Linked DNA regions of Saccharomyces cerevisiae S288C. The protein of the gene in region 2 purifies or fractionates together with the protein of the main gene of each other region. This does not show direct contact. Each region holds a gene or a part of one and is shown on either strand. Other genes may lie near its edges.

What was found.
Region 1: the proteins of ROT1 (region 2) and KRE6 purify together in Saccharomyces cerevisiae (affinity purification with western blotting; 2 studies listed by BioGRID, with this or other methods). This does not show direct contact.

The regions. Positions count from the first base shown.
Region 1 is NC_001148.4:848,166-865,820, reverse strand, and holds KRE6 (beta-glucan synthesis-associated protein KRE6), read right to left. Parts: upstream 8,239-17,655; coding exon 6,076-8,238; downstream 1-6,075. Other genes in the region: cyclin-dependent serine/threonine protein kinase SGV1, read left to right, coding at 1-1,372; GPH1 (glycogen phosphorylase), read right to left, coding at 1,807-4,515; YPR159C-A (uncharacterized protein), read left to right, coding at 5,406-5,507; YPR158C-C (gag protein), read left to right, coding at 9,564-10,886. UniProt on the Saccharomyces cerevisiae protein: Involved in the synthesis of (1->6)- and (1->3)-beta-D-glucan polymers of the yeast cell wall in vivo. It is required for full activity of beta-glucan synthase in vitro.
Region 2 is NC_001145.3:652,376-666,022, reverse strand, and holds ROT1 (Rot1p), read right to left. Parts: upstream 1,272-13,647; coding exon 501-1,271; downstream 1-500. Other genes in the region: DNA repair protein RAD14, read left to right, coding at 1-178; cyclin CLN1, read right to left, coding at 1,739-3,379; CIK1 (Cik1p), read right to left, coding at 4,494-6,278; v-SNARE protein VTI1, read left to right, coding at 6,825-7,478; YMR196W (uncharacterized protein), read right to left, coding at 7,681-10,947; ICY1 (Icy1p), read right to left, coding at 11,606-11,989; CMC4 (Cmc4p), read left to right, coding at 13,136-13,175, 13,248-13,429. UniProt on the Saccharomyces cerevisiae protein: Required for normal levels of the cell wall 1,6-beta-glucan. Involved in a protein folding machinery chaperoning proteins acting in various physiological processes including cell wall synthesis and lysis of autophagic bodies.

The DNA.
Region 1 (17,655 bases), on a different chromosome or scaffold from region 2:
TTTGATTGACCACAACGGTGTTTTAAAGCTTGCTGATTTTGGTTTAGCAAGATTATATTATGGCTGTCCTCCAAACTTAAAGTATCCTGGTGGTGCAGGTTCCGGCGCCAAATATACATCAGTAGTCGTAACGAGATGGTATAGAGCACCTGAGTTGGTGCTTGGTGATAAACAGTATACAACAGCTGTTGATATATGGGGTGTCGGATGCGTTTTCGCAGAATTTTTTGAGAAAAAACCTATTTTACAGGGAAAAACGGATATTGATCAGGGACATGTTATTTTCAAACTACTTGGTACACCGACAGAAGAAGATTGGGCCGTGGCTAGATATTTGCCAGGTGCTGAACTAACAACAACTAATTACAAGCCAACGTTGAGGGAAAGATTTGGTAAATATCTAAGTGAAACAGGTCTAGATTTTTTAGGACAGTTGTTAGCGTTAGATCCTTACAAGAGGTTGACCGCTATGTCTGCTAAACACCATCCTTGGTTTAAAGAGGACCCTTTACCATCAGAGAAGATAACATTACCGACGGAAGAAAGTCATGAAGCTGATATTAAGAGGTACAAGGAAGAAATGCACCAATCATTGTCCCAAAGAGTACCTACTGCGCCAAGAGGTCATATAGTTGAAAAGGGTGAATCACCTGTCGTGAAAAATCTTGGGGCGATCCCAAGAGGCCCCAAGAAAGATGACGCAAGTTTTTTGCCTCCATCAAAGAACGTATTGGCTAAGCCGCCTCCTTCGAAAATAAGAGAACTACATCAAAATCCTAGACCGTATCATGTGAACAGCGGATATGCTAAAACTGCGATTCCACCGCCAGCAGCCCCTGCAGGAGTTAATAGATACGGACCCAACAATAGTTCCAGAAATAATCGCTTCAGCGGCAACAGCACTGCACCCAACAACAGCAGGAATCCCGTAAATCGATTTCATCCTGAGACAAATGTCAGCTCTAAATATAATAAAGTACCTTTGCCATTGGGGCCTCAGTCAAGATACCAGGGTAATTCAAATGAGTCCCGGTACAAAAACTCGCCAAATGACTCTAGATATCATAACCCTAGGTACGTGAACAAGCCGGAAACCAACTTCAATAGGCAACCACAGAAATATAGTCGCCAAGAATCCAATGCGCCAATCAATAAAAATTATAATCCTTCAAACGGTTCTCGCAATATGGCTGGTGATCATCATCAAGGCTCGAGACCTTCTCATCCACAATTCCCAATCTCGCCCTCACAGGGGCAGCATCAGCTTACGAGTAAACCAATAGAGAAAAAAAATGGAAGCTTTAAGGATGAAAGAGCGAAACCAGATGAGTCTAAGGAGTTCCAAAATAGTGATATTGCAGATCTATATTAGGTTATACTATTCTCTCTTCCTTTCTGGCCTCGTGGCTAATTACGGAAAGTTGTATACTGACTACTATGTAATCTATCACGTTTTGTCACTGTCTCGCTCTTTTCAAACAATCCATAAAATCGAAACTATTGTCAAAACGTCAGTACATCCTACCTGATAGGGACTGTACCAATGTCAACGTTCGAGTAAGTGATAATAAGGACCGCCTTACCCACCTTCAGGACACTCGGTTTTACACAAGCGTTATCCTGCGCGGATTTTCAATATGAAAACAACTAAGTTTTCCTGTAACATCATATATACCATTTAAAAGAGTGCCAAAAAACCGATAACGATTATTTTAAAGGCGTTTTATATAAGAGAAGAAGTAAAGAGAAAAAAGCGCTTACTAGAAATGGGGAGAAGGGTGCCAAAGAGATAAAAAAAACTCCCAGCTAAGTCACTGGTTCAACGTTCCAAATGGTATCGGAGTATTCCTCGATACAACGATCACTGCTAAAGAAGCCGACGTTTGCAACGCTCAGGACACTCTTTTTTAACCATTCTGACCTTTGATTGTGGAACTCCTGGTCCACTAATTCATGGGTGGCCAGATAGGATTCAAAGTCATCACTGACCAGGTAATAATCGCCGTGGTACTTAATACTGTCGACTAAAGGTTTGAATTCATTTGGATTTTCTGGAGAAAATTGTCCACTTTCAATGTAGGATAAAACAGAATCCAAACTAGATGGTAAATCTTGTGGATGGTATTGATGGTTGTATCTCAATTCTTCGACATTTTCACTTAGGTTACCAAACAAGAAGACATTATCTTCACCAATTTCCCTTGTGATTTCCACATTGGCACCATCAACAGTACCAATAATCAAACCACCGTTCATAACAAACTTCATATTAGAAGTACCAGACGCTTCAGTACCAGCAGTAGAAATATGCTCACTCAAGTCACTTGCTGGAATAATGATTTCAGCCTTAGAAACATTATAATCAGCAACAAAGACAACCTTCAACAAATGCTCAATTGACTCGTCGTTATTAACAATGTCAGCAACACAGTTGATCAATTTTATGATCAGCTTAGCCATGTAGTAACCAGGAGCACTCTTACCACCAAAGATTGAAACCTTGCGTGGATATTTCTTGGCAACTTCTTCGATCGAAGCACCGTTCTTCAGCATATTCTTCATTGCCAGGTAACGGTATATAATACCAAAGACGTTTAGCTGTTGACGCTTATATTCATGAATACGTTTAACTTGCATATCAAACAAGGTGTCGTCCAAATACTCTCTGTTAATGATGTCTACTCCATCATTTTCCTTTTTGATTAAATCTACTAATCTGATCTTATTATTAAGCTTGACTTGGTTCCATTTTTTCAAAAACTCCTTATCTTCAACATATTTTCCCAACTGGGTCAGTTTGGCCATGTCCAACAAATACTCCTCTGTTGGATCGTTAAGGGTTTCACTGATCAGTTTAGCCAATGAAGGGTTAGCTTGCTTCAACCATCTCCTTGGTGTGATACCGTTAGTGACATTGACAAACTTTGATGGACCATAGAACTTGACAAAATCTTTAAATATGGTCGTTTTGATTAATTCAGAGTGCAATTCAGCAACACCATTAACCTTGTGTGAACCAACAATAGCCAAAAAGGCCATTCTGATCTGTCTTTCTGGAGAGTTTTCTTCGATGATGGATATACGAGACAAAAGATCAACATCCTTGGGGAATTTTTTGGCCACATCTTGCAAGAAGAACCAGTTGATATCATATATAATTTCCAAATGTCTGGGTAGCAAATGGCCAAAGAGGCCGACGGGCCATTTTTCCAGGGCCTCTTGCATAACAGTGTGGTTAGTATAAGCAAAAGTCTTGGTCACGATGTCCCAAGCCTCGTGCCAATCTAGTTTTTCTAGATCGACCAAAACTCTCTGTAATTCAACGATGGCTAAAGTTGGATGAGTATCATTCAACTGAATAGCCACTTGGTCAGGAAATTCAGTCCATGGCCTCTTGGATTTTTTGAATCTTCTTAAGATGTCGTGTAAGGATGCAGCACACCAGAAGTACTGCTGTTTCAACCTCAACTCCTTACCTTGAGCAAAGTTATCGTTTGGATACAACACAGCGGTTATAGACTCTGCGCGTTGTTGCTGAGCCACAGAGTTTTTATAGTCACCATTATTGAATTTTGCAAAATCAAATTCTGTTGTTGGCCTTGCTTGCCATAGTCTTAAGTTATTTACATTGGAAGTCTTGAAACCCGGAACTGGGAAATCATACGCGACAGCAAGAACTCTTTCCCCACCGATCCATTGTGACGCACTCAGTGTAGTTTTACCGCCTTCTGGTCTATCAACATAACCATAAAAGGTGACAGGAATTTGCACTTCGTTACGTTCAATTTCCCATGGATTACCAGAATTTAACCAGTAATCTGGAGTTTCCACCTGGTAACCGTCAATAATCTTTTGAGCAAAGATACCATACTCATAACGTAGACCATAACCCCAGGCAGGGATGCCTTCCGTTGCCATTGAGTCGACGAAGCAAGCTGCAAGACGACCTAGACCACCATTACCTAAACCTGCGTCCGGTTCTTGGTCCAAGACATCCTCTAACTTGAAACCTAAATCATCCAAAGCCCCTTTAATCATTTCTCTTGGTTTTCCCTTTGAGGCAGCAGGGTCTTCCGGATCTTCAATCTTCATATTAATCAGGGCATTATCCAAAGCCCTACCCATCAAAAACTCCAAAGACAAATAGTAAACTCTCTTTGGGTCTCTTGTGGTGAATTTCTGCTGAGTTTTGTTCCAGTCAATGACCAAATTGTCACGAATACTCATCGAAGCAGCTTCATAAGCAGCCATGTCATCACAATTATATAGGGAACGTGCTAATGTAGTTTCCACATGGTCAATGAATCTATCTTGAAAATCTTCTGCCTTGTTAAATTTTTTGACTTGATGCTTATTCCATAACGCTCTTGACTTTAAAGGAATCATCGTGTCAATTGACTTGATTTCTTGGGGAAGAAACCCCGTAAGTCTCCTTGTAAGCCTTGGGATTTGGTGTGGAGAAGTAGGTTCTTCGGTTATCATATCATTGGTAGTACTAGTACTAGCTGGCGGCATTGTTCAAAATTAAATTAAGTTGAAAGCTGCTTTACTGAAATTGTAATGTAGAGAAGTCAAAAAAGATCCAATTGTTTTTCTTTTGGATATTTTTAGTAATCGTTACCTTCTCAATCTGTGCTTACTTTATATTACAATAGCAAGCAGAAAAAACTTATAATACTTCGTACGTAATCAAAACAAAAGGTACAACAAGAAACGGGAAGGCACAAAGAATCTTGCTTTACTGCTATACAAACTTCATGCTCCTTTTATACATATAATATATTCGTCGGTGTTCCTTCCTTATCTTTGTAGCATGCACATGGTAGTTATTAACCTCCCCTGAAACTTTTTTAGCGAAAATTATCCACCCCTTACTTATTTCCTCGAGAGTCTCTAAAAAGTAAAAATACAATAACGGTAATTGGGGAAGGCGTTCCTTGTTAATTCAAAATGTTATCCTTGAAACATAGAAGGTGCTGGCTGCATCTCGCAGAGCTTCCTCTTCCGTTGAGCGTTGTATTCTTCCCCCCACAGTGCTACTAGGCGATGCCGCTACCCCTTGAAGGGCCTTCCCGCTGTGGGGCAGCGGCCTTTTTTCCTTAGTGGGAAACAAGCACCGGGGTATATTTCATTGTCTATCAGGAGAAGAGATCGTATACAAATGTTCGTGAGACGGTTTCATCTTGACTAGTTGCCTTGCTAGTCGGATAACTAGTGGAAAGCAGTAGGACACTCCCGATGAGTTTGCGTTTCCACGGGGTTTGACAGAGCTACCTATTGTCTTTTTCATCGAAGGAAACGGTAGTTGGACCTTGCCTTGGATAAGTTGGTGAATCATCCAGAGCTTTAGAAGGGAGCAAAAAATAAAATCTGCGCAAGCCCGGAATCGAACCGGGGGCCCAACGATGGCAACGTTGGATTTTACCACTAAACCACTTGCGCTTGTTATTTACATGAGTGTGGTACTTCTATTGATGGTAGGTGTTCCATTACTTTTTTCGTCTTAAGATGAGCGAGCAAACACAGGGAGAAAATAAAGCGCAATTATTTACCTCATAGGGTACACAATATCCGTGAGAAAAGGATGAATTTGAAATAATTATACAGACTCCTTTTTTTTCAACGTAAAATTATAAGCATAGATTAGAGGCGCTCCTGGATAATAATAGGAACACACACAAGTAAATCAGCAATTTCTCATATCGTACTTATTCGGTAGAGTTAATAATATTCTACTAAAATAACTACTGGTAAGTAGTGAGAGCTTGATTTTTGTACTAATAACTTGTTTCAAAAAAAAAAACGAATAATCAGTTTTACAAAAATGTGTATACCTATATAAACAATCTTAGAGGTAAAGTTCTCCCTCACTAAAAATAATAAAAAATTACGTGCAGATGAGAACCCCGTCTTACCTTAGTATACCTTTAGTTCCCTTTATGACCCGATTTGAACGATAAGTCTTTTATATTTTATTTCTTCCTAAAAGAAAAATGTATGCATTGTAAGTAACTTTTTATGACCATGGTAATAATTAAAGCCGAGGGCTTGTAGATTTACCATCAAAATACCCGCTTAAGAGGATAACTTGAACTTCGAGCTAGTACATTTACCAGTTAGGATATTCTTAGGGAACGTGTAACCAGCATCTTCCCAAGTAGTTAAGTTTGCATTCTGGAATGCATTTAAGTGCGATTGAATATAATCATATGTTGGATAGTCACTTGGATCGCATGTCACGGATATAGCATTACTTGGTTGGTATATTCTAACATAGTCAATCGACATAACCACTGGGAAGAAAATATACTGCCAATCAATATAAGCCCAATTGTTGGAAATACCCAGATTTAGAATAATCGACATTGGTTCTTTACTGATTCTTCTCCAACCAATATTACCATCAGGATGTAAGGCTTTAGCATGAATAGTATAAGTTGGAGTATCACCAACAAACCAACGGATATAACCATTGTCGTCATCGTTCAGATACTCAATGGCATATTTTTGAAAGTAGCCACCGTACTCACCGAATTCATACCAAGTTACGTTCAAAGTTGAGACAGCAGATACGGCTTGTTGAAATGGACCGCCAGCATAAGTGTTCATGGTCGTTGTTGTGAAATTGTAAACCTCGATAAAATCATAGTCAGGCATGTACCAGATATCAAAAGGTGCAATTTGCAAGGATTGAGAGGCTATACCTACACCAATCTTAGTATCAGTTTCACCTTCCAAAACATCAATTTCTGGAGCTCCTCTACCAACACCTTGATTCGGATGATCTTCACCATCACAAGTACAAATACTTAACTTTTGTCCCGGCAAGTAAGAAATACCATCCGGGGAACTTTGGTTGGGTGTAATACCAGCATCACACGATTCATAAGAATAAGGCCAGACACCTTGGGTACTAGCCAAATAACCGGGCCTCCCTAAATTACCCATAGTCCAAAGACCGGGCCACAAACCTGAAACACGGCCATAATTTGGTAGATTTGCAGAGATTTCTAGAGCACCCTGCGTGAAACAAACCTTATTCCAACTCTGCAACATACCTGATCTGTAATATAAGCCATGGTTCTTAAAGGCATCCATTCTCAGCTGCAAGGTTCCGTTCACAGTTGTGGAAGCGTCTGGACTGTACCATTCTAAATCCTTAGTAGCATCATAGTGAACATCAGGGGCTGTCCAGTATGGATCATCCCCATCATAAAATGTTCTGCCTTCTGCATTAAACTCATCAGAAAATACTAATTCCCACTTAGAGCCATCCATAGCTTCTCTTGTCTTCGCTGTATCAGGTGTGTCTGGGTCAACCAGAGATGTTCTAATGGCGGATAGTTGAGGATATTGGTATTGAGTTAAATATGTAACTTCTTCAGTGTTGCTTTCGTGATCAATAGCACCGGTAAAGGTCAACGCTGGCAAAACAATAAAAATAAAGATGGCTGCCAGAAACAAGAGCAATACACCAGCTAGCCCACTAGCAGACCTTTTATCCATGTACTTGAAGTCATCTATGAACCTCCTTCTATCCAGTCTTGCCTCTTCTTCGGGGTCAGGATTGTGTAAATAATCATCTTCTTCCTTTTCATCTATCATAAGTGGGAACGATGAAGCAGGATACCCACCAAATGGAGAAAAATCTTGCTCGCCCAAAAACGGATTAGAAGAGAATGAGGCGGACGACTCGTTTCCTGGAGATGATGTTGGCGAGCGACCATGATGGTTCAGTTGAGTCATAGAAGTGACTCTGGAACCCACTAAGGGATATCTATCAAATTCTGGCGGTGAGAGAATATCATTCTTCGATAAATTAGAATTCAAAGAAGGAGAAGAGGCTATAGCTCTATGTGGTGGCTGAAGAAATGAGTTATCATTAGCCGTACTCACAGCTCTACTATTGTTCCTGGAATAGTAACCTTTGTAATCAGATACACCTTTATTTTGACTTAGATCTAGACGAGAATTGTCATGAAGTAGTGAAGAGTCACTCCCCTGTGGCTGATAATGAACAGAAGAAGACAGAGATTCTCCATCCCGCGCATTAGATTCTTCGTCACTCCCCATAAAAGGGTTTGTGAGACCAGCATTATCGTTGGTGCTATTGTCATTTTGTTGTCCAAAAGAAGGAGATGAGGAAAGAGGAGCACCATCATGATCGTCGCCTGTACCATCTGTGTCCAGGTTTGTGCTACTAAAGTTGTGCGTTTCAGTTAGATTTCTCAAAGGCATTAGAGTAAAGGAGTGAGTGGTATACCTATTCTGTAAACTTTAGATGATTTAACGAGAGAAATGTTGTGCAACTACTAACTTGCCTTAGTAGAAAAATTCTAACAACAATATATTTATAGACGATAAAGTAATGAACACTAGTACGAGAGGACGAATACAATAACAATATGCAGCTTTCTCGAGCACTTGCAGCAATACGAAAGCTTTGGACTGAAAATAAAAAAAGAAGAAAACGTTAGTGATTCTTAAGTGCTTCTGTAAGCTAAAAATATTTTAACGGTTGTTGTTTTCGACGTTCCTAGTTAAATTTTATCAGAAGCTGTTTTATTCTGTGTTTTCACCAAAAATAGCGTTAACTTTCATCTGATCAGGAATATGAAAAAAAAAAAAAAACTGTCCAAATAGAGCGTATGTGATCTGAAGTCTAGAATTTACCGCTTCAGGATGATTCTTTGGCGTTTTGCGGGTAAAACGCCTTTCAGATCGCGTCACACTTGCAGGCTGAGAGGAAAAAGAAAAGAGGGGAATGAAAATCACTAAGCCACAAAAACAATAAAGATAATTTTATACGAAATATACATTTTGTATTCCATAATCAAAAATTAAAATGGACGAGTCCGGAATCGAACCGGAGACCTCTCCCATGCTAAGGGAGCGCGCTACCGACTACGCCACACGCCCGAATCTTGTTGTAAATTGTTGTATTACGGGCTCGAGTAATACCGGAGTGTCTTGACAATCCTAATATAAACAGTCTTAGGGAAGTAACCAGTTGTCAAAACAGTTTATCAGATTAATTCACGGAATGTTACTTATCTTATATATTATATAAAATATGAATCATACTAAGTGGTGGAAGCGCGGAATCTCGGATCTAAACTAATTGTTCAGGCATTTATACTTTTGGGTAGTTCAGCTAGGGAAGGACGGGTTTTGTCTCATGTTGTTCGTTTTGTTATAAGGTTGTTTCATATGTGTTTTATGAACGTTCAGGATGACGTATTGTCATACTGACATATCTCATTTTGTGTTGGAATAAAAATCCACTATCGTCTATCAACTAATAGTTATATTATCAATATATTATCATATACGGTGTTAAGATGATGACATAAGTTATGAGAAGCTGTCATCGATGTTAGAGGAAGCTGAAACGCAAGGATTGATAATGTAATAGGATCAATGAATATAAACATATAAAACGGAATGAGGAATAATCGTAATATTAGTATGTAGAAATATAGATTCCATTTTGAGGATTCCTATATCCTCGAGGAGAACTTCTAGTATATTCTGTATACCTAATATTATAGCCTTTATCAACAATGGAATCCCAACAATTATCTAATTATTCACCCATTTCTCATGGTAGCGCCTGTGCTTCGGTTACTTCTAAGGAAGTCCACACAAATCAAGATCCGTTAGACGTTTCAGCTTCCAAAACAGAAGAATGTGAGAAGGCTTCTACTAAGGCTAACTCTCAACAGACAACAACACCTGCTTCATCAGCTGTTCCAGAGAACCCCCATCATGCCTCTCCTCAACCTGCTTCAGTACCACCTCCACAGAATGGGCCGTACCCACAGCAGTGCATGATGACCCAAAACCAAGCCAATCCATCTGGTTGGTCATTTTACGGACACCCATCTATGATTCCGTATACACCTTATCAAATGTCGCCTATGTACTTTCCACCTGGGCCACAATCACAGTTTCCGCAGTATCCATCATCAGTTGGAACGCCTCTGAGCACTCCATCACCTGAGTCAGGTAATACATTTACTGATTCATCCTCAGCAGACTCTGATATGACATCCACTAAAAAATATGTCAGACCACCACCAATGTTAACCTCACCTAATGACTTTCCAAATTGGGTTAAAACATACATCAAATTTTTACAAAACTCGAATCTCGGTGGTATTATTCCGACAGTAAACGGAAAACCCGTACGTCAGATCACTGATGATGAACTCACCTTCTTGTATAACACTTTTCAAATATTTGCTCCCTCTCAATTCCTACCTACCTGGGTCAAAGACATCCTATCCGTTGATTATACGGATATCATGAAAATTCTTTCCAAAAGTATTGAAAAAATGCAATCTGATACCCAAGAGGCAAACGACATTGTGACCCTGGCAAATTTGCAATATAATGGCAGTACACCTGCAGATGCATTTGAAACAAAAGTCACAAACATTATCGACAGACTGAACAATAATGGCATTCATATCAATAACAAGGTCGCATGCCAATTAATTATGAGAGGTCTATCTGGCGAATATAAATTTTTACGCTACACACGTCATCGACATCTAAATATGACAGTCGCTGAACTGTTCTTAGATATCCATGCTATTTATGAAGAACAACAGGGATCGAGAAACAGCAAACCTAATTACAGGAGAAATCTGAGTGATGAGAAGAATGATTCTCGCAGCTATACGAATACAACCAAACCCAAAGTTATAGCTCGGAATCCTCAAAAAACAAATAATTCGAAATCGAAAACAGCCAGGGCTCACAATGTATCCACATCTAATAACTCTCCCAGCACGGACAACGATTCCATCAGTAAATCAACTACTGAACCGATTCAATTGAACAATAAGCACGACCTTCACCTTAGGCCAGGAACTTACTGAATCTACGGTAAATCACACTAATCATTCTGATGATGAACTCCCTGGACACCTCCTTCTCGATTCAGGAGCATCACGAACCCTTATAAGATCTGCTCATCACATACACTCAGCATCATCTAATCCTGACATAAACGTAGTTGATGCTCAAAAAAGAAATATACCAATTAACGCTATTGGTGACCTACAATTTCACTTCCAGGACAACACCAAAACATCAATAAAGGTATTGCACACTCCTAACATAGCCTATGACTTACTCAGTTTGAATGAATTGGCTGCAGTAGATATCACAGCATGCTTTACCAAAAACGTCTTAGAACGATCTGACGGCACTGTACTTGCACCTATCGTACAATATGGAGACTTTTACTGGGTATCTAAAAGGTACTTGCTTCCATCAAATATCTCCGTACCCACCATCAATAATGTCCATACAAGTGAAAGTACACGCAAATATCCTTATCCTTTCATTCATCGAATGCTTGCGCATGCCAATGCACAGACAATTCGATACTCACTTAAAAATAACACCATCACGTATTTTAACGAATCAGATGTCGACTGGTCTAGTGCTATTGACTATCAATGTCCTGATTGTTTAATCGGCAAAAGCACCAAACACAGACATATCAAAGGTTCACGACTAAAATACCAAAATTCATACGAACCCTTTCAATACCTACATACTGACATATTTGGTCCAGTTCACAACCTACCAAAAAGTGCACCATCCTATTTCATCTCATTTACTGATGAGACAACAAAATTCCGTTGGGTTTATCCATTGCACGACCGTCGCGAGGACTCTATCCTCGATGTATTTACCACGATACTAGCTTTCATTAAAAACCAATTTCAGGCCAGTGTCTTGGTTATACAAATGGACCGTGGTTCTGAGTATACTAACAGAACTCTCCATAAATTCCTTGAAAAAAATGGTATAACTCCATGCTATACAACCACAGCGGATTCCCGAGCACATGGAGTCGCTGAACGGCTCAACCGTACCTTATTAGATGACTGCCGTACTCAACTGCAATGTAGTGGTTTACCGAACCATTTATGGTTCTCTGCAATCGAATTTTCTACTATTGTGAGAAATTCACTAGCTTCACCTAAAAGCAAAAAATCTGCAAGCCAACATGCTGGCTTGGCAGGACTTGATATCAGTACTTTGTTACCTTTCGGTCAACCTGTTATCGTCAATGATCACAACCCTAACTCCAAAATACATCCTCGTGGCATCCCAGGTTACGCTCTACATCCGTCTCGAAACTCTTATGGATATATCATCTATCTTCCATCCTTAAAGAAGACAGTAGATACAACTAACTATGTTATTCTTCAGGGCAAGGAATCCAGATTAGATCAATTCAATTACGACGCACTCACTTTCGATGAAGACTTAAACCGTTTAACTGCTTCATATCATTCGTTCATTGCGTCAAATGAGATCCAAGAATCCAATGATCTTAACATAGAATCTGACCATGACTTCCAATCTGACATTGAACTACATCCTGAGCAACCGAGAAATGTCCTTTCAAAAGCTGTGAGTCCAACCGATTCCACACCTCCGTCAACTCATACTGAAGATTCAAAACCTATATCTGAAATCAATCTTCGTGCACCCAGAGAAGTTGACCCCAACATATCTGAATCTAATATTCTTCCATCAAAGAAGAGATCTAGCACCCCCCAAATTTCCAATATCGAGAGTACCGGTTCGGGTGGTATGCATAAATTAAATGTTCCTTTACTTGCTCCCATGTCCCAATCTAACACACATGAGTCGTCGCACGCCAGTAAATCTAAAGATTTCAGACACTCAGACTCGTACAGTAACAATGAGACTAATCATACAAACGTACCAATATCCAGTACGGGTGGTACCAACAACAAAACTGTTCCGCAGATAAGCGACCAGGAGACTGAGAAAAGGATTATACACCGTTCACCTTCAATCGATGCTTCTCCACCGGAAAATAATTCATCGCACAATATTGTTCCTATCAAAACGCCAACTACTGTTTCTGAACAGAATACCGAGGAATCTATTATCGCTGATCTCCCACTTCCCGATCCGCCTCCAGAACCTCCTACCGAATTATCAGACTCCTTTAAAGAACTTCCACCGATCAATTCTCGTCAAACTAATTCCAGTTTGGGTGGTATTGGTGACTCTAATGCCTATACTACTATCAACAGTAAGAAAAGATCATTAGAAGATAATGAAACTGAAATTAAGGTATCACGAGACACATGGAATACTAAGAATATGCGTAGTTTAGAACCTCCGAGATCGAAGAAACGAATTCACCTGATTGCAGCTGTAAAAGCAGTAAAATCAATCAAACCAATACGAACAACCTTACGATACGATGAGGCAATCACCTATAATAAAGATATTAAAGAAAAAGAAAAATATATCGAAGCATACCACAAAGAAGTCAACCAACTGTTGAAGATGAAAACTTGGGACACTGACAGATATTATGACAGAAAAGAAATAGACCCCAAAAGAGTAATAAATTCAATGTTTATCTTCAACAAGAAACGTGACGGAACTCATAAAGCTAGATTTGTTGCAAGAGGTGACATTCAGCATCCTGATACGTACGATACAGGTATGCAATCCAACACTGTACATCATTATGCGTTGATGACATCCCTGTCACTTGCATTAGACAATAACTACTATATTACACAATTAGACATATCTTCGGCATATTTGTATGCAGACATCAAAGAAGAATTATACATAAGACCTCCACCACATTTAGGAATGAATGATAAGTTGATACGTTTGAAGAAATCACATTATGGATTGAAACAAAGTGGAGCGAACTGGTACGAAACTATCAAATCATACCTGATAAAACAGTGTGGTATGGAAGAAGTTCGTGGATGGTCATGCGTATTTAAGAATAGTCAAGTAACAATTTGCTTATTCGTTGATGATATGATATTGTTCAGCAAAGACTTAAATGCAAATAAGAAAATCATAACAACACTCAAGAAACAATACGATACAAAGATAATAAATCTGGGTGAAAGTGATAACGAAATTCAGTACGACATACTTGGCTTAGAAATCAAATATCAAAGAGGTAAATACATGAAATTAGGTATGGAAAACTCATTAACTGAGAAAATACCCAAATTAAACGTACCTTTGAATCCAAAAGGAAGAAAACTTAGCGCTCCAGGTCAACCAGGTCTTTATATAGACCAGGATGAACTAGAAATAGATGAAGATGAATACAAAGAGAAGGTACATGAAATGCAAAAGTTGATTGGTCTAGCTTCATATGTTGGATATAAATTTAGATTTGACTTACTATACTACATCAACACACTTGCTCAACATATACTATTCCCCTCTAGGCAAGTTTTAGACATGACATATGAGTTGATACAATTCATGTGGGACACTAGAGATAAACAACTGATATGGCACAAAAACAAACCTACCGAGCCAGATAATAAACTAGTCGCAATAAGTGATGCTTCGTATGGTAACCAACCATATTACAAGTCACAAATTGGCAACATATATTTACTTAATGGAAAGGTAATTGGAGGAAAGTCCACCAAGGCTTCATTAACATGTACTTCAACTACGGAAGCAGAAATACACGCGATAAGTGAATCTGTCCCATTATTAAATAACCTCAGTCACCTTGTGCAAGAACTTAACAAGAAACCAATTACTAAAGGATTACTAACCGACAGTAAATCTACAATCAGTATAATTATATCCAATAATGAAGAGAAATTTAGAAACAGATTTTTTGGTACTAAAGCAATGAGACTAAGAGATGAAGTATCAGGAAATCATCTGCACGTATGCTATATCGAAACCAAAAAGAATATTGCAGACGTAATGACCAAACCTCTTCCGATAAAAACATTCAAACTATTAACAAACAAATGGATTCATTAGATCTATTACATTATGGGTGGTATGTTGGAATAAAAATCCACTATCGTCTATCAACTAATAGTTATATTATCAATATATTATCATATACGGTGTTAAGATGATGACATAAGTTATGAGAAGCTGTCATCGATGTTAGAGGAAGCTGAAACGCAAGGATTGATAATGTAATAGGATCAATGAATATAAACATATAAAACGGAATGAGGAATAATCGTAATATTAGTATGTAGAAATATAGATTCCATTTTGAGGATTCCTATATCCTCGAGGAGAACTTCTAGTATATTCTGTATACCTAATATTATAGCCTTTATCAACAATGGAATCCCAACAATTATCTCAACATTCACCCATTTCTCATTTTGAGATACAACAGAAATAATCCATTGTGTACCGTATTTAGTACTTGTATATCAACGCGACATGTATCAAATTGCACGTGACAACTGCGAGAGTTGATTGAAGTTCAAGATAATTGTTGGAATAAGAATCAACCATCACATATCGATTAGTATTCGTACTATTTGCATGTTATCGTATACGGTGCAAAAATATGGCATAAAGATTGAGAAACAGTGAGCACATTTAATGAAAGCTGAAATGCAAGGATTGATAAGTAATAGGATAATGAACTTCTAGTAAAATTTCTGAGATATATGTGGGTAATTAGATAATTGTTGGGATTCCATTGTTGATAAAGGCTATAATATTAGGTATACAGAATATACTAGAAGTTCTCCTCGAGGATATAGGAATCCTCAAAATGGAATCTATATTTCTACATACTAATATTACGATTATTCCTCATTCCGTTTTATATGTTTATATTCATTGATCCTATTACATTATCAATCCTTGCGTTTCAGCTTCCTCTAACATCGATGACAGCTTCTCATAACTTATGTCATCATCTTAACACCGTATATGATAATATATTGATAATATAACTATTAGTTGATAGACGATAGTGGATTTTTATTCCAACATACCACCCATAATGTAATAGATCTAATGAATCCATTTGTTTGTTAATAGTTTGAATGTTTTTATCGGAAGAGGTTTGGTCATTACGTCTGCAATATTCTTTTTGGTTTCGATATAGCATACGTGCAGATGATTTCCTGATACTTCATCTCTTAGTCTCATTGCTTTAGTACCAAAAAATCTGTTTCTAAATTTCTCTTCATTATTGGATATAATTATACTGATTGTAGATTTACTGTCGGTTAGTAATCCTTTAGTAATTGGTTTCTTGTTAAGTTCTTGCACAAGGTGACTGAGGTTATTTAATAATGGGACAGATTCACTTATCGCGTGTATTTCTGCTTCCGTAGTTGAAGTACATGTTAATGAAGCCTTGGTGGACTTTCCTCCAATTACCTTTCCATTAAGTAAATATATGTTGCCAATTTGTGACTTGTAATATGGTTGGTTACCATATGAAGCATCACTTATTGCGACTAGTTTATTATCTGGCTCGGTAGGTTTGTTTTTGTGCCATATCAGTTGTTTATCTCTAGTGTCCCACATGAATTGTATTAACTCATATGTCATGTCTAAAACTTGCCTAGAGGGGAATAGTATATGTTGAGCAAGTGTGTTGATGTAGTATAGTAAGTCAAATCTAAATTTATATCCAACATATGAAGCTAGACCAATCAACTTTTGCATTTCATGTACCTTCTCTTTGTATTCATCTTCATCTATTTCTAGTTCATCCTGGTCTATATAAAGACCTGGTTGACCTGGAGCGCTAAGTTTTCTTCCTTTTGGATTCAAAGGTACGTTTAATTTGGGTATTTTCTCAGTTAATGAGTTTTCCATACCTAATTTCATGTATTTACCTCTTTGATATTTGATTTCTAAGCCAAGTATGTCGTACTGAATTTCGTTATCACTTTCACCCAGATTTATTATCTTTGTATCGTATTGTTTCTTGAGTGTTGTTATGATTTTCTTATTTGCATTTAAGTCTTTGCTGAACAATATCATATCATCAACGAATAAGCAAATTGTTACTTGACTATTCTTAAATACGCATGACCATCCACGAACTTCTTCCATACCACACTGTTTTATCAGGTATGATTTGATAGTTTCGTACCAGTTCGCTCCACTTTGTTTCAATCCATAAAGTGATTTCTTCAAACGTATCAACTTATCATTCATTCCTAAATGTGGTGGAGGTCTTATGTATAATTCTTCTTTGATGTCTGCATACAAATATGCCGAAGATATGTCTAATTGTGTAATATAGTAGTTATTGTCTAATGCAAGTGACAGGGATGTCATTAATGCATAGTGATGTACGGTATTGGATTGCATGCCTGAGTCGTAAGTGTCAGGATGCTGAATATCACCTCTTGCAACAAATCTAGCTTTATGAGTACCGTCACGTTTCCTGTTGAAGATAAACATTGAATTTATTACTCTTTTAGGGTCTATTTCTTTTCTGTCATAATATTTGTCAGTGTCCCAAGTATTCATTTTCAATAGTTGGTTGACTTCTTTGTGGTATGCTTCGATATATTTTTCCTTTTCTTTAATATCTTTATTATAGGTGATTGCCTCATCGTATCTTAAGGTTGTCCGTATTGGTTTGATTGATTTTACTGCTTTTACAGCTGCAATCAGGTGAATTCGTTTCTTCGATCTCGGAGGTTCTAAACTACGCATATTCTTAGTATTCCATGTGTCTCGTGATACCTTAATTTCAGTTTCATTATCTTCTAATGATCTTTTCTTACTGTTGATAGTAGTATAGGCATTAGAGTCACCAATACCACCCAAACTGGAATTAGTTTGATGAGAATTTATCGGTGG
Region 2 (13,647 bases):
GCGACTGAAAACAAGAGCTCAAGAATATACTAATAGATTAAGAGAAAAGAAGCATGGGAAAGCCCATATTCATCATTTTAGTGATCCAGTTGATGGAGGTATTGATGAAGACGGTTATCAAATTCAAAGAAGAAGATGTACAGACTGCGGGCTAGAAACTGAAGAAATTGACATTTAAATGTTGGTTATGTATATAAGAATATAACAAGAAAGTCATAATAAGGTGTTTTGATTGTGTTCATTGATTGATATCCCATTTGTCACTCGTACATAATTAACTATCTCGGAAAAACTGGTTTGAAAATCTTTTATTCATCCACCTTATTTAATAATATGATTACAATCAATTCCTTGGGTGCATAAAATTACACCTATTCTTGCTTCTCTTTCTCGCCTGATAAAGTTGTTTTGCCTTATATGTTTATAGTTTTTAATATTTATTTGAAGGCCACATGGGGCCTCTTTCCCCCATTGGTTGAATAAGTATCCCTGTAGTGCGCCTAAAATGCTAAAAATAATAATGAACCTACACCTAGCATACCCGCAGAAATATACCAAATGGCATTGGAGGTTAAAAATGAGGTATTTTGTCTTTTAATGGCATTCGTCTTGTGTCTGTTTTCCAGGCTCCTCCTCACTAAACTTCTCAGTGATCTTTTCTTATTAGAGGATGGGTCGTCAGTGCTGGTCGCTGACGATGTTGGGTTCAAAGTTTCTGTTGGAAGCATCATTGGTGGTCTATAAGCCAAATATAGTGGTTGCATTGGAGTACCATCATATTGGTACAATTGCAGGGTGTAAATACCATGGTAAGGATCTATACCTACGGCATATTCCTTGAAAGTTTCTGTTTGGTTATATCTAGAATAAGTCGAAACTCCGTCATCATTGCATGGGTCGCTGAATAGTTGTCTACCGTCAACTTCAATAGGATTCAGAACTAACGTACCGTTTTCTGAAATGTTATATGTACCATGCTGATAAATCAACGAAGCCATGGGGCAAGTTGGGTTACGAGGATTGCCACTTACCTGGTAAGTAGCTTCTTCGTACCAACCATCTTCAGTGAACGAATAGCTAAGCCCGGGCAATGAAGGTTCTATCAATAGTTCATCTACGGGATCATAAAACCCCGGTCCCGTGAACACTTGATTTGATTTAGATGACCAGGTACCGTATATAGAGTTACTTTCGTCTTCACAATAGACCTTTTGAGCAAACAAATACCCGCCTAAGATTAGCTTTTTTAATGTAAACTTTTTCGACCACATAGTAATAAAGTGCAACAAATAATAATGGTTATAATACCGATCCTTTCCTCAGAATGATGTCTTACTTCAGTTTAATATGCCGGTAGGTTCTCGAAAAAGATGAGATCTCAAGCTTTAGTATGACTATATATCTATAATCTTAGAGAGGCTTTCTATTTATAACTGTTTGCTAATTACTACTCTCCTTTGCTTACCGCAAACGTTAGAACGAAAGGAAGAAAAAAATACTGGAAAATCGCGTCATCTTTTCCGTTCATGATGATAATTATATCAATCGTTGAAAGAATATTGGTATATTACTATTCAGCTGGTTTCAGGTGAAGAATATTGAGGCTAGATGTTTGTAGGTGGGCATTAAAATTATCTGGTATTAAAATGTCAAGTATGAATGTCATTATTACTTACGATGGAAAAGCGTAGTATTCCGTTATTAATTAAGTATATATGTAGGCTTGATGAGAAAATGGTCACAGTTGAGAGCTATTGTGGTTCCTTAACGATAGCGATATCGAAGACGCTCTATTAGTAAGTTCTCCTGTGTTCTGGAATATACCAGTCGTCATAAATTTGGCACGTTGTGGTATTTCAGCGGATGATGAGTTGGGAATTCTATTCTCTTTATTCCTTTCTTCTAGCATCATATTCTGATAATTGCTTGATAATGGCATGTTACCATTTTGGGTTTGATTAGGTAGACTGCTTACGCTTATGGCACTGTCACAAGCACTTTCGTTTTTAAACTGATTAAAAGTGTACATGTGAGGGGTGATCGGCGATGAATGGTCAATGTTGGTAGTACTGAAAACACTGTTGTCTGATTGTGCACTGAAGTTTCGCATTGGAGTATAATTGGTTCCCGAAGAATATGTGCTTGGAGAAGAAACTGATGATGAAGAGGCATTTTGGTCAAAGTAACGAGAATTGACAGCAATTTTTCTGGTTAGGTCTATTGTAGAGGCCAGTTGCAGTTTCTTTTGTAATTCCAAGTTATAATCTTTTACTTGTAATATGAAAGGTACTATACCATATTGCTCCTTATAAACTTCGACTAAAGATGGGGGAGAATTGACTATGCCATTGATGATAATGCTGAATACCTGCGTTTGAGTGTTTGAGTTTATATCATTACCAATGGGCATAGAGAGAAAAGGGCCTTGATCTTGATTAGTGAATTTGTTTATTATAGAAAACATACCATTGCATATTTCGTATAATTCGAATTTAAGCAAGTTGTATTGCCAACAGCTCAGATCAATTAAGAATCTTTTCAAATTTATCAATTTAATTTTGGAATTTAGTTCTTCATCTTCATCCATGGTAGTTGTATCGCCATCTAGTCCAGTACTTTGCGGTGAACTACTGATATGTTCTTCCACTGTGGCATCACTGTCGTCAGAAGATTGTGACTTTCTCTTACAGGACCATTCTTTGCCGTTGCTATTGTTATTTTGTAACTGGTTTTTGTAAAGTTCATATTGTATCAAACAATTTTCGTCAACGTTTAAAATGTAGTCATTAATCATGGGCTCATAAACGTCCCAGTTCAGAGTATCCAAGATATGTCTTTCCATTTGAATGAACATTGATTCATCGAATAAATCGGACCCGCCGCAATAATGAACCAATTCAGAAAGGCGTGGAATACGAGCTCTAGGATTGGGACCATAAAACCTACCACCTGTGGGGATGGAGACGTTGTTTATAATATGGTTGCACCCTCCCCAAGTTTTGGCCGCTAACCAAAGGCAGGTGCCTACAACTAGTTTAGCTTGGTCCTTTAACACTACTCTCTTAGAGCAATAGCGATCGTAGAACCTGACAGCGTGGAAGAAGATACCATTACTTACTCTAGTCATCACTGAAAGTTGATACAAAAATGTTACTATGGCTTCTCTAGTTTGATGAGGATTCATCTCCGGTTGCTGATCGATCAATTTTATGTCTGGTTTTGTCTTGGAAGATTGGACCAGCACATTTTGAGAGATTTCCTCGTGATATTCCTGTATGGTTTCGTAATGAGTTAGTAGTTCTGCATTGGACAATTCAATTGGGTAATATGTCTGCTTTGCAGTGACAATTAACCCAGTTTTCACTTCTGAGTGGTTCATGATCTTTTTATTTATTTTACAGAAATAGCTAACGAGCAGTGGAGTGGTGGTAGTGCTATTTTATTTAATTGCTATTATTGTTATCGTCGTTAAAATGTATTGTCAGCAAAATTACACTAATTTCTTCTATCCTGGGGAGATGGGATGAATAAATTGACAATAACCAGGAAATAAATTAAAGCGAACGAAGAACTCCTTGGCCAATTTGCTCTTAAGTGTGCATTCAACTAAGAAACTATTGAAGATAAGCATTACCAATTCCAAAATATATTCTTATATAAAAAGAGATACTAAGAAAATATCGAGAGATTAATTGCTGCACTCGCACCGGTACCACTTGGCGCAGGAAAACTGCGGTTTCCACAGGGGACCCACGCTGCCTTTACTCCATTCTCAATCTTGCCTTCTGCAGTATCTTTTTTTTTAATTTTCGAGTCTTCGTCACTTTCGAGTTAGTCTCCCTCCCAGCCTCGACCTGGCACCATTCAGCTCAATCCAGCAAAATCGCCAAAAATGCGTCTCCGATGCTTTCAAGGTTGGAAACTAACTAACGCGGTGCGAGATTCCCTCGAAGAAGTAAAATCGCGAATTCTTCCTTGAACGCGTCTCTTGCAGGCTGAACAAAGAAGTCGCTAGTGGATCGTCACAGAATGAACACGCCCACGAGCGGGATCTGGCTCGAGTTGTCATGAATACTGAAAGTATCAGGCGCGGGGTTGTAGTAGGTAAAGAATTTCTCCAAGAGGTTGTAGGAATGGACTTGTTTACCCCTTTACGCGCGGTGTTTTCGTGGCTTTACCGCATTGGGGTATGTCCCAGAAGAGAGTGTGCGCTATTCGATTTCCTATCAGTGAAGTGTTGCGAACAAGGGAATGCTGTCGAATTAGGAAAACAAAAGTTTATTCATGCAAATTTTGTGGCACGCTACCCTAAGTTCTCGATGATGTTTGGCTGCGTTTAAGTGAGTAATTTACATCCGCCTGTTAGTCCCGTAACATTCTCTTTTATTTTGCTAGGATAATTAGGTTGATGCCACGCACGACAATGTAGCTACGTAAGTTTTTTATGTAAGGGAACGAGACGAAGTGATTGTAGCGCACAAGATCTGGCCTTCTTAATCTAGCTGAGGTAATGTTATTGTTCTTTTCAGCTTTCCCGCTAAGGCTAGAGCCTTCTCGATGTTTTCACCAGCGTTAATCTTGAAGACAAAGCACTGCTTTGTTTTAGTGAGAATATGCGAAAGGACTGAGGGAGCATCATCAAGCTCTCTATTCAGCTGTACCGTGGACATACTACCGATATATATATTCATTGAATGGGACTCTTCATCTTTTCCCAACTTGGTATCTAAAGTTAAAATGTTCATGCATTCTTCATCTTGTGACAGATCTCTAATTTCTGTTGGGTTATCTAATCCAACGTCACTGTGTTTAATACTTCCGTCAAGATGCAAAATGTTCAATGTCATCTTATAATTCTCACCGTACTGCTCAATTAACTGTTTTAGCAAAGTCTTTTTCATTGGTGCTGTGGGTTGCTGCGAAACCACTATAATGCTGCAGTTAATTAACTTGCTGATGTATTTTTCCAGGAACGGAATGCATTCGTTATATAAGCGTTTGTGATCCTTATGGATTTCTTCGAGAACTACTCTATCAAATACTTGTACCCGTTTTTCTCCACTATTCTCGCAAATGCACCGATCCACATAGTTGATATGGAATTCATCAGGCATTTGTCGTTCATTGGCATACGCAAAGCATCGGGTGTATCCTTTGATTTCTTCAATTGAAGTGGCCAGATTTTGTCGTGTGTATAATTCCTGTTGAACCTTTTCTAGTTCATTAACGTACTTCTTCTTCCAATTGTTTGCTTCTCCTTCGACTTGCTTCTTCTCCTCCTGCACTTGCGTCAATGCTTGTGATGTAGAAGCAAGCTTCTTTTTGAGAGGAACAACGGCAAGTTCCATGCTATGGAAGTTCACTTCTGCCTCTCCAATCCTTTTTTCAAAATCGTTAAACTCATCTCTACACGTCTTAATATTTTCTTTCAGTTCACCATGGGTGTCTTGTAGGTCTTTTAAAACTTTCGAAAGTCTTTCTTGCTCCCCATCTAATTCAATTCTAGCATCGTTCTTAACTTTCTTGAATATCTCGAATTTCTTGTCCAATTCTTTTTTGTAGTTTTTACACTCGTTCTCATTTTCATTCTGTAGAATGAATAGTTTCCTATTGACCTCCTCGAATTCTGTTTTAAGCTGTCGCATTTCGTCAGTTAACCTTTCGTCAGGTTTCAAATTTTCTACTTCCATTAATTTATACGTCCACTCCCTTTTGGCATTCGATAGCTCTTCCTCTAAATCGTTTTCGAACTCTTGTACTTTTACTGCATGCATAGACACTATATTTTTTGATGATAGCTCAACATTCTTTCTTTGAAGATCACATTGATTATCCTTCAAGTCCATCTCCGTTGATAGTCCATCAATCTCATTTTGTAGCTCCCTGCACGCTTTGACTTTTGCATCTAATTCTAATGTTATTGCAGGTAGTTCCCTGGCATGAATACGAACAGATTCCTTTTCAATTTCAGAAATAGCATTCAGTAGTGAATCTATGTCTTTTCTAACCTTACGTTCATTGTTCTTAACCCTTTCAATAATCTTGGGGTCCCCCCCAAAGGTTAGTTTCTTAGTATACGTAGCGGAGGTGTCATCAGTGTAGCAGCGCCGTATACCAGATCCAGAGCTGTGCAATATATTTAGCTTGTTGTTATTAGGAGTTAGTATCATATCCATTTCTCTTTTCTGAACCTTCTGTCGTTTTGTCTTTGGAAAGTCTCGAGTGACGTTGTTTGGATCACTATGAAAGGAAAGTTTAGGAATTTTGGAGTTATTCATCCTAATAATAAAGCTTATGTCAACGAGTTTCAAATGCCAAAACAAATATTAAAATAGTGAATAGCTCTTATATATACACGGTCCAACCCTATGGCACAAAATTCACTTATTTAGGCGCTTAATTATAATGTCGTAGTTGTGTTTCAAAGTTGCTTCAGCCAAACGGAAAAGCCGCCTAAATGTGTCGATCAGTGAATGAGCTCAATAACGTGTGGATATCAAAAAATAATACAGTAAAGCCTTATTCTCGGACGATATGCTCAATGGTCAACGACTGACTAGTTTTATTTTGATACGAGCTACGACAGTGGTATCTTTCATATACTAGAATCATATTAGAGAGTAAATAAGAACAAAAATGGTAAACAAACAAATATCACTATGGACGATATTACTGATCACATGACTGTCTAATTTTCAATGAAAGTTAGGAGTGGAGTAGTCGTGCTATATAGGGCAATTACTATTCTTGGAAAAGTGTAAAGCTTTACATTAAGTTGTATAAAACGAATCAACCGCACTCTTTACATTGCTGCATGGCTTACTATGAGTTCCCTATTAATATCATACGAATCTGACTTCAAAACAACCTTAGAACAAGCCAAAGCGAGCTTAGCAGAGGCCCCCTCACAACCGTTATCACAGAGAAATACTACACTGAAGCACGTAGAACAGCAACAAGATGAGTTGTTTGACCTGCTAGATCAGATGGATGTAGAAGTTAATAACAGCATAGGCGATGCCTCAGAACGTGCTACGTACAAGGCGAAGTTAAGAGAATGGAAGAAGACTATACAGAGCGATATCAAACGACCACTGCAATCCTTAGTAGACTCAGGCGATCGTGATAGACTTTTTGGAGATCTTAACGCATCTAATATTGACGATGACCAAAGGCAACAGTTGTTGAGCAACCATGCAATCTTACAGAAATCGGGAGATAGACTAAAAGATGCCAGTAGAATAGCAAATGAAACTGAAGGAATAGGGTCACAAATAATGATGGATTTAAGGTCACAGAGAGAAACTTTGGAAAATGCAAGACAGACCTTGTTTCAAGCGGATTCATATGTGGATAAAAGTATAAAGACACTAAAAACAATGACTAGAAGGCTAGTTGCTAATAAATTCATAAGCTATGCCATTATCGCAGTCCTTATATTATTGATTTTGCTAGTTTTGTTCTCAAAGTTTAAATAAGGTGGGAAAACAAATTCAATAAAAAACCTCTAGAATCTAAAGAACATGTCAAGGAACTATAGAGTTACCTTCACTAGTAATATCAACGCTACCTTACTGATAAAAAACTACTGCAATTAAATATTCTATAGATCAAAATATAGAGGTATATCGTTGGAAATATTTTTCAAACGTACAGATATTGAAGGTTCACCGCAGTTAATCAAGACACATCCTTATTCAACGGACTCATTGGGTCCATTGGGTCTATATCCTCATCTTTAGCCTTGTCAGTTACTTTCATATTTTTCACCTTATCTTTTAGCTTGCCTATAAGCTTGGTTTCAAAGTTGTGACGATCTTCAGGTACCACAGTTTCGTGAATACCTTCCTCTTCATTCATTTCCTCCATCAAATGTCTAGCCTTGTCACTTGAAATGCTGCTTTGTGGTGTCAACCCAGAATGGGTGCCCCCTATCCTATGATGGCGCTTTTCTTCTTCGGTTAAGTCCAAAATGGTGGCAGTGTAGTTTACCAAAGACTTTGCACTCTTACGTCTTGCCATTCTCTTCATTTTGGGACCTTGCTCAGAGCTCTCTGTTGAAGCGGTCGTTGCCACAGATGATCTTGGCGTACGAGGTAGTCTTACACAGGATATACCTACATCACTTATCCATTTGGCCACAAGAGCAGTCCAACCACATTGGTGTGAAGCGCCAAGCCCTCTTCCAGTATCACCGTCAAAGTATTCAAAAAATGGCACATAATCCCTGAAATATGGATCAGAAGACAGAAACTTAGAGTGATCACCATAATGAATGGCGCGCTCCCCGTTTTCGTCTGGAACAAATAAGTGAATCATACGATATCCAAGTTCTTCGGCAACTTCAGCAAGATTCAAATAATCTCCTGAACCTACGGGACACTCTACTTTGAAGTCGGAACCGTAGTACAGGTAAAACCTTTGTAATGCTTCCATTATTAAAAAGCTGGTAGGAAACCAAATGGGCCCTCTCCAGTTAGAATTACCGCCGAACATACCCGAGTCTGATTCGCCCGGCAAATATTTGACCATATATTCGACACCATTTACATTCATTTCGAATGGGTGCTTCTCATGATATTTGGAAAGAGATCTAATACCATATGGTGACAAAAACTCAGTTTCATCCAGCAAACGTGACAGTATGGCTGTTAATCTTTCCTTAGTAACTAGGGATAAAAGTAGTCTTTCTCCCACTCCTTTTTTTGACATGGACGCAATGTTTCTATCAAAGATTTCTGGACGGTTGTTCACAAACCAATCAACCCTCTTCTTGAAACCGCGGAATTGTTTTATGATACTAGGCTCTAAAGTCATAGAAGCATATAGTGGGATCAATCCCACGAGAGATCTTATTGGTAGTTGCACCTTGTGGTCACCCCAAGAGATGGCATCGTAATAAAATTTGTCTGCTTCATTCCATAGGTTTTGTTTGATAACTTCTTTACATTTCTCTCCCGTAATATCAGTAGCGTATTCAAAGGACATAGAGTCACTGATTAAGATAAAATGTTCAAAAAATTTAGAGGCAATATCTTCATAAACCGGGTTTTCTTTGGCGAGCTCTAATGCAATATTTAGCATTTGAAGGCTGAAAAAGGCCATCCAACCTGTAGAATCAGCCTGTTCAAGCGTACCGCCAGTGGGTAGTGGTTCTGATCTGTTGAAAACGCCAATATTATCAAGACCCAAAAATCCGCCCTCAAAAACATTTTTACCTTCAGTATCCTTTCTGTTGACCCACCATGTAAAATTTAACAAAAGCTTCTGGAAAACTCGTTCTAAAAATGTACGATCTTCACGGTTGTACATGTTTCTTTCGATCTTGAAAACACGATACACAGCCCATGCATGGACTGGTGGATTTACGTCATTGAAGTTCCATTCGTATGCCGGAATTTGACCGTTAGGATGCATGTACCACTCTCTGGTTAATAAATCCAATTGCCGTTTTGCAAATTCTGGATCAATCATAGCTAAAGGAATGCAGTGAAACGCAGTATCCCATGAAGCAAAAAATGGATACTCCCATTTGTCGGGCATTGATAAGATATCTTCGATGTAAAGGTGCTTCCAGTTCTTGTTCCTGCCATTAGCTCTATTAGGGGGAGGGCGAGGCTTAACATTGGCGTCACCATTATACCAAGCATCATATGTAAAATTGTAGAACTGTTTAGTCCATAGCAAACCAGAAAAAGCTTGTCTTTGAAGGTTTCTTAATTCATCACTGATTGGCAAAGGTGTAATCCTCCAGTAGAAGTTATCAGCTTCCTCCTCTCTGTTATCGAAAATCAAATCAAACTCATCTTCATCTACGACAGCCAGGTTTTGTGCCTTAAAGATAGAGTTTTTTGGGTCATTTGTAAATTTGTATCTCACAGTAACATACTCTCCGGGCGGAATATTTTTGAAGTGATATACTGCGCAGGCCTTTGTTCCTTTATTTTCAGGATTTACAGCATCGGTTTTGCCTTGAACAAGATATTCTTCAAAAGCATCCTTTGTGTACTCGGAAGGATTCTTTTCTTCGTTAAATAGTTTTACTAAATTGGACTCATTATCGGTAAATAGCAGCAGAGGATCTATATCTTCTACCTCTTTATCTTCCTCTTCCTCGTTTGTACCGGAAGAGAACCCACCTGGAGATGGCTGAAAGACCATTTGGCAATTACCATATTTCTTGTGAGTCATATTGATTAAGTTCGCTGCTTCTGCATCTCTTTCAAGCAAGGGCTTGTCCTTTGTTCTAGTACCGTCAAAAGCCCAAGTATTTCTGAAGAAAAGTTGGGGAGCTATGTAGAGCTCACCAGAGTCGATTTTACTTCGATTATGTATAGTTAGCCGAAAGTTCAGTTCACTAGGGTTTTCGTCATCCTTTGCCATTTCAAAAAAAACATCGAAATAAGGGTTGTCACCGGTTTCACTATCACGGTATAGCCCATCTATATCGTAAACTTCGAATTCTTTATCCTCGTATCCCCTTTCACCATTCTTTTGCACCAATTCTTTGTATGGAAAGGCCTTTTTAAAGGGATACTTGTATAAAGCTTTCATATATGAATGAGTGGGAGTATTGTCCAGGTAAAAGTACAATTCCTTAACATCCTCACCATGGTTCCCTTGTGGCCCAGTCAACCCGAACAACCTTTCCTTCAATCTTTCATCTTTACCGTTCCACAGAGCGACATTCATACACACCAATTGTTTGTTATCTGAGACACCAAATAATCCATCTTCACCCCAACGGAATACTCTTGCATTGGCATGTTCGAAAGGAAAATTGCTCCAAGCATCACCGTTTAAAGAATAATCTTCACGGACTGTCGCCCAGCTTCTTTCACTCAAGTAGGGACCCCAACGATACCAGTATTTCTCATGATTTCGATTTTCACGCAATCTTTCTTCTTCTACTGTAGAATCTACAAATTTGTCTCTTAGCTTGTTCATTGTTGCTGTTTAGACTTGCTATCTCTTACCAATACAAGGTCTTAACACTAGTAAAAGAATACTTGACAAGACTCTTTAGTTGCACTTTAGAAATTTGGAGGTGCTGAGAAAGCGGTGGATACCAAGGTACGATCGTATAGTATATATATATATATATATTACAGTGTTATCAAACAGGTTTTCTTGGCTTGCCGCTTTTGATCTGGGTTAGCCCCGCAAGATGATGTTTTACCCCTTATTTTTGATCTAGCCTTTTTTTTGTTCAATTGGATCTGAATCGCTAAAGATTTAAACTAAAGAAAGAAGAAGACAGGATAACAATCAATGGATACAACAAATAGGGGCATTCGGAGACACAGAGTATCCATTTTATTTTCTTTTTTCTTCCGGTAGCTGGTCTTACACTTATTCTTGTCAGCAGACGGTGCGCCGCCACTCCCATTGTAACTCTTGTGATGAGCTCTCCTTTCAATGGAAAAGGAACATCACGTGAAGCGAACGCGTATGAAGAGGAAATCAGTTAGTTGATGTTTGTATGGGAATATTGTCTGTTGGAAGTTTATAGAAACAATAATGCGTGTGTATTTATGTATGTTGAGTGCATATATATGTAGGTAGATTGTTTTTTTCTTTTGATTATCATTCCTTAATCGTTATTCTAAAATGAAGACAGCCACAATCTGTAGTTTTGTTGGGCGGCATTGGCATAAAGATCGGTCAATTTATCACACGACTGGGTAGTTTTGGCCGCGACGGCCATGCGACAATCCTGGACGTTATTCATGGCTTGGTGTTTGTAGTTGTTTTCTTGAGGGTTATCTAACGAGAACACAGTCTCGTCCGAGGCAGAACTTGTGTTCAAATCGAACTTCCCGGTGTCTCTCGGTACCACGAAAGGACCATTCAAATTATTATATTTGGCATCTTCCGAAGTATTGAGTGAATAATGCTCACCAAGTGACACATGCTCGGTAAATTGATAATTGGCAAAAGATAAGGGAAACACCTCATCGTCTAAAGGAGTGGCATAGTTTGAAGACATTTCTTGGTTTTATTGTATGTGTTATATGAGAAATTCAATTCTCCTTGTCATTAGTTTGTCTATCTATATATATTAACAAACAGGCTAGTGCTGAATGACTACGGAAAACAAATATTACATGCAAAAATTTTTGACAATAATGAGTAAGAGGCACATGCACTAGAGCATAAAAATTATGAACGTGTCTAGCTACATATATATCAATTAAATTAGTCTATCCGCGTAGCCAAGAAAACGATAACAAAGGGTACTTTACCCACTTGAAGGTGTCATTAACGCTGGTATGATAACCCGCTATCAAGCTGCATAATCTTTCTCCTACTATGCGCGTCTTTTGTTTTCATTTCACGGAATGACTCTTCCGCGGAGATTGGGCCGCGCCAGAAAATTTTTTTTCATCCGCTTCAGTCATTTCTGTCTGTTTTCTGTGCGCACTCTACGCTGATCGCTTGCGGCGGTAAAATTCCCCTGATATCCACCAAGGTGCTGAAAATCGAGCTACGGGGCGCTCTTGGTACGGGAATGGCAACAGAAAGAGCAGCTAGCTCGAACAGCCAGCTCTTTTTGAGGGGGGTAACACGTATGCTGGCAAAGGGCACAGGGTCTTATTACCCCTCCTTTGGTACGGTGGTCACCACAGTAGCAGAAGCGCTCGGATCATCGCTTCCACGTCATGCCCACGTTTCGTTTCCATGCGGAAAAATGCCCTCCTTAACATGACCACTTTGGGGGTTTTTGTATATTGTTTCTTAATTGCTGATTTGTGCAGTATCCTATCGTTCGTTCTTCACCCCTCCCCTTAAACCTTGCTAGCGTTTTGATATTTTTTGTTTCCTGTCACGTTCAATACTACAAATTACACATCTCAATCGGAATCGCGGGCGCAGAGTTTTTCCGATGTTGCCCGTCGCTAATATTTGGCGACTTTTGCACGTGAACGACGTCCCCACAATAAATTTCGCAAGGAGCGGGCGTGCGTTGTTAACGTCATCCGTTAGCGAGACTTTTACGGATATTACTTTTCACCCATGGGGTGTATATGAGAGTTCAGAAGAGGGTGTGGAGAGACAGAATATTACTGTTCTTTTTTTCCAAGATATTGAGCGTTTTTTTAGTTGTTGAGATTTGTTCAAATAAGAGGTAAATATGTCTAATCCATGCCAGAAGGAGGCCTGCGCCATCCAAGGTTTGTAATATTAACTTCAAAAGATTCGATCGTTTTTTTCTTTTCACTAACGTTTTTTCACATTAATTTTAGATTGCCTTCTATCACATCAGTACGATGATGCTAAATGCGCTAAAGTTATAGATCAGCTGTACATCTGCTGCTCAAAATTTTACAATGACAATGGAAAAGATTCACGGTCACCCTGCTGTCCGCTACCTTCGCTTCTTGAGTTGAAGATGAAACAGCGAAAGCTTACACCAGGGGACAGTTGAGGCTTCCAATTGGCCCTTCTTTCTACGTATGTATGAACTAGCAATTGAAAAAAAAAAAAAGGTATGTGCGTGAAGAGAATCTAATCATAAGTACATTATTCGTACTTCCAGGGAAGATCCACTCACTTTCTTTATGAAAAAGAAATATATTTATCTAAGATCAACCGCGAGCACGACAGTGAAATAGTATTAGTACTCCACCGTATAGTAAACGATTA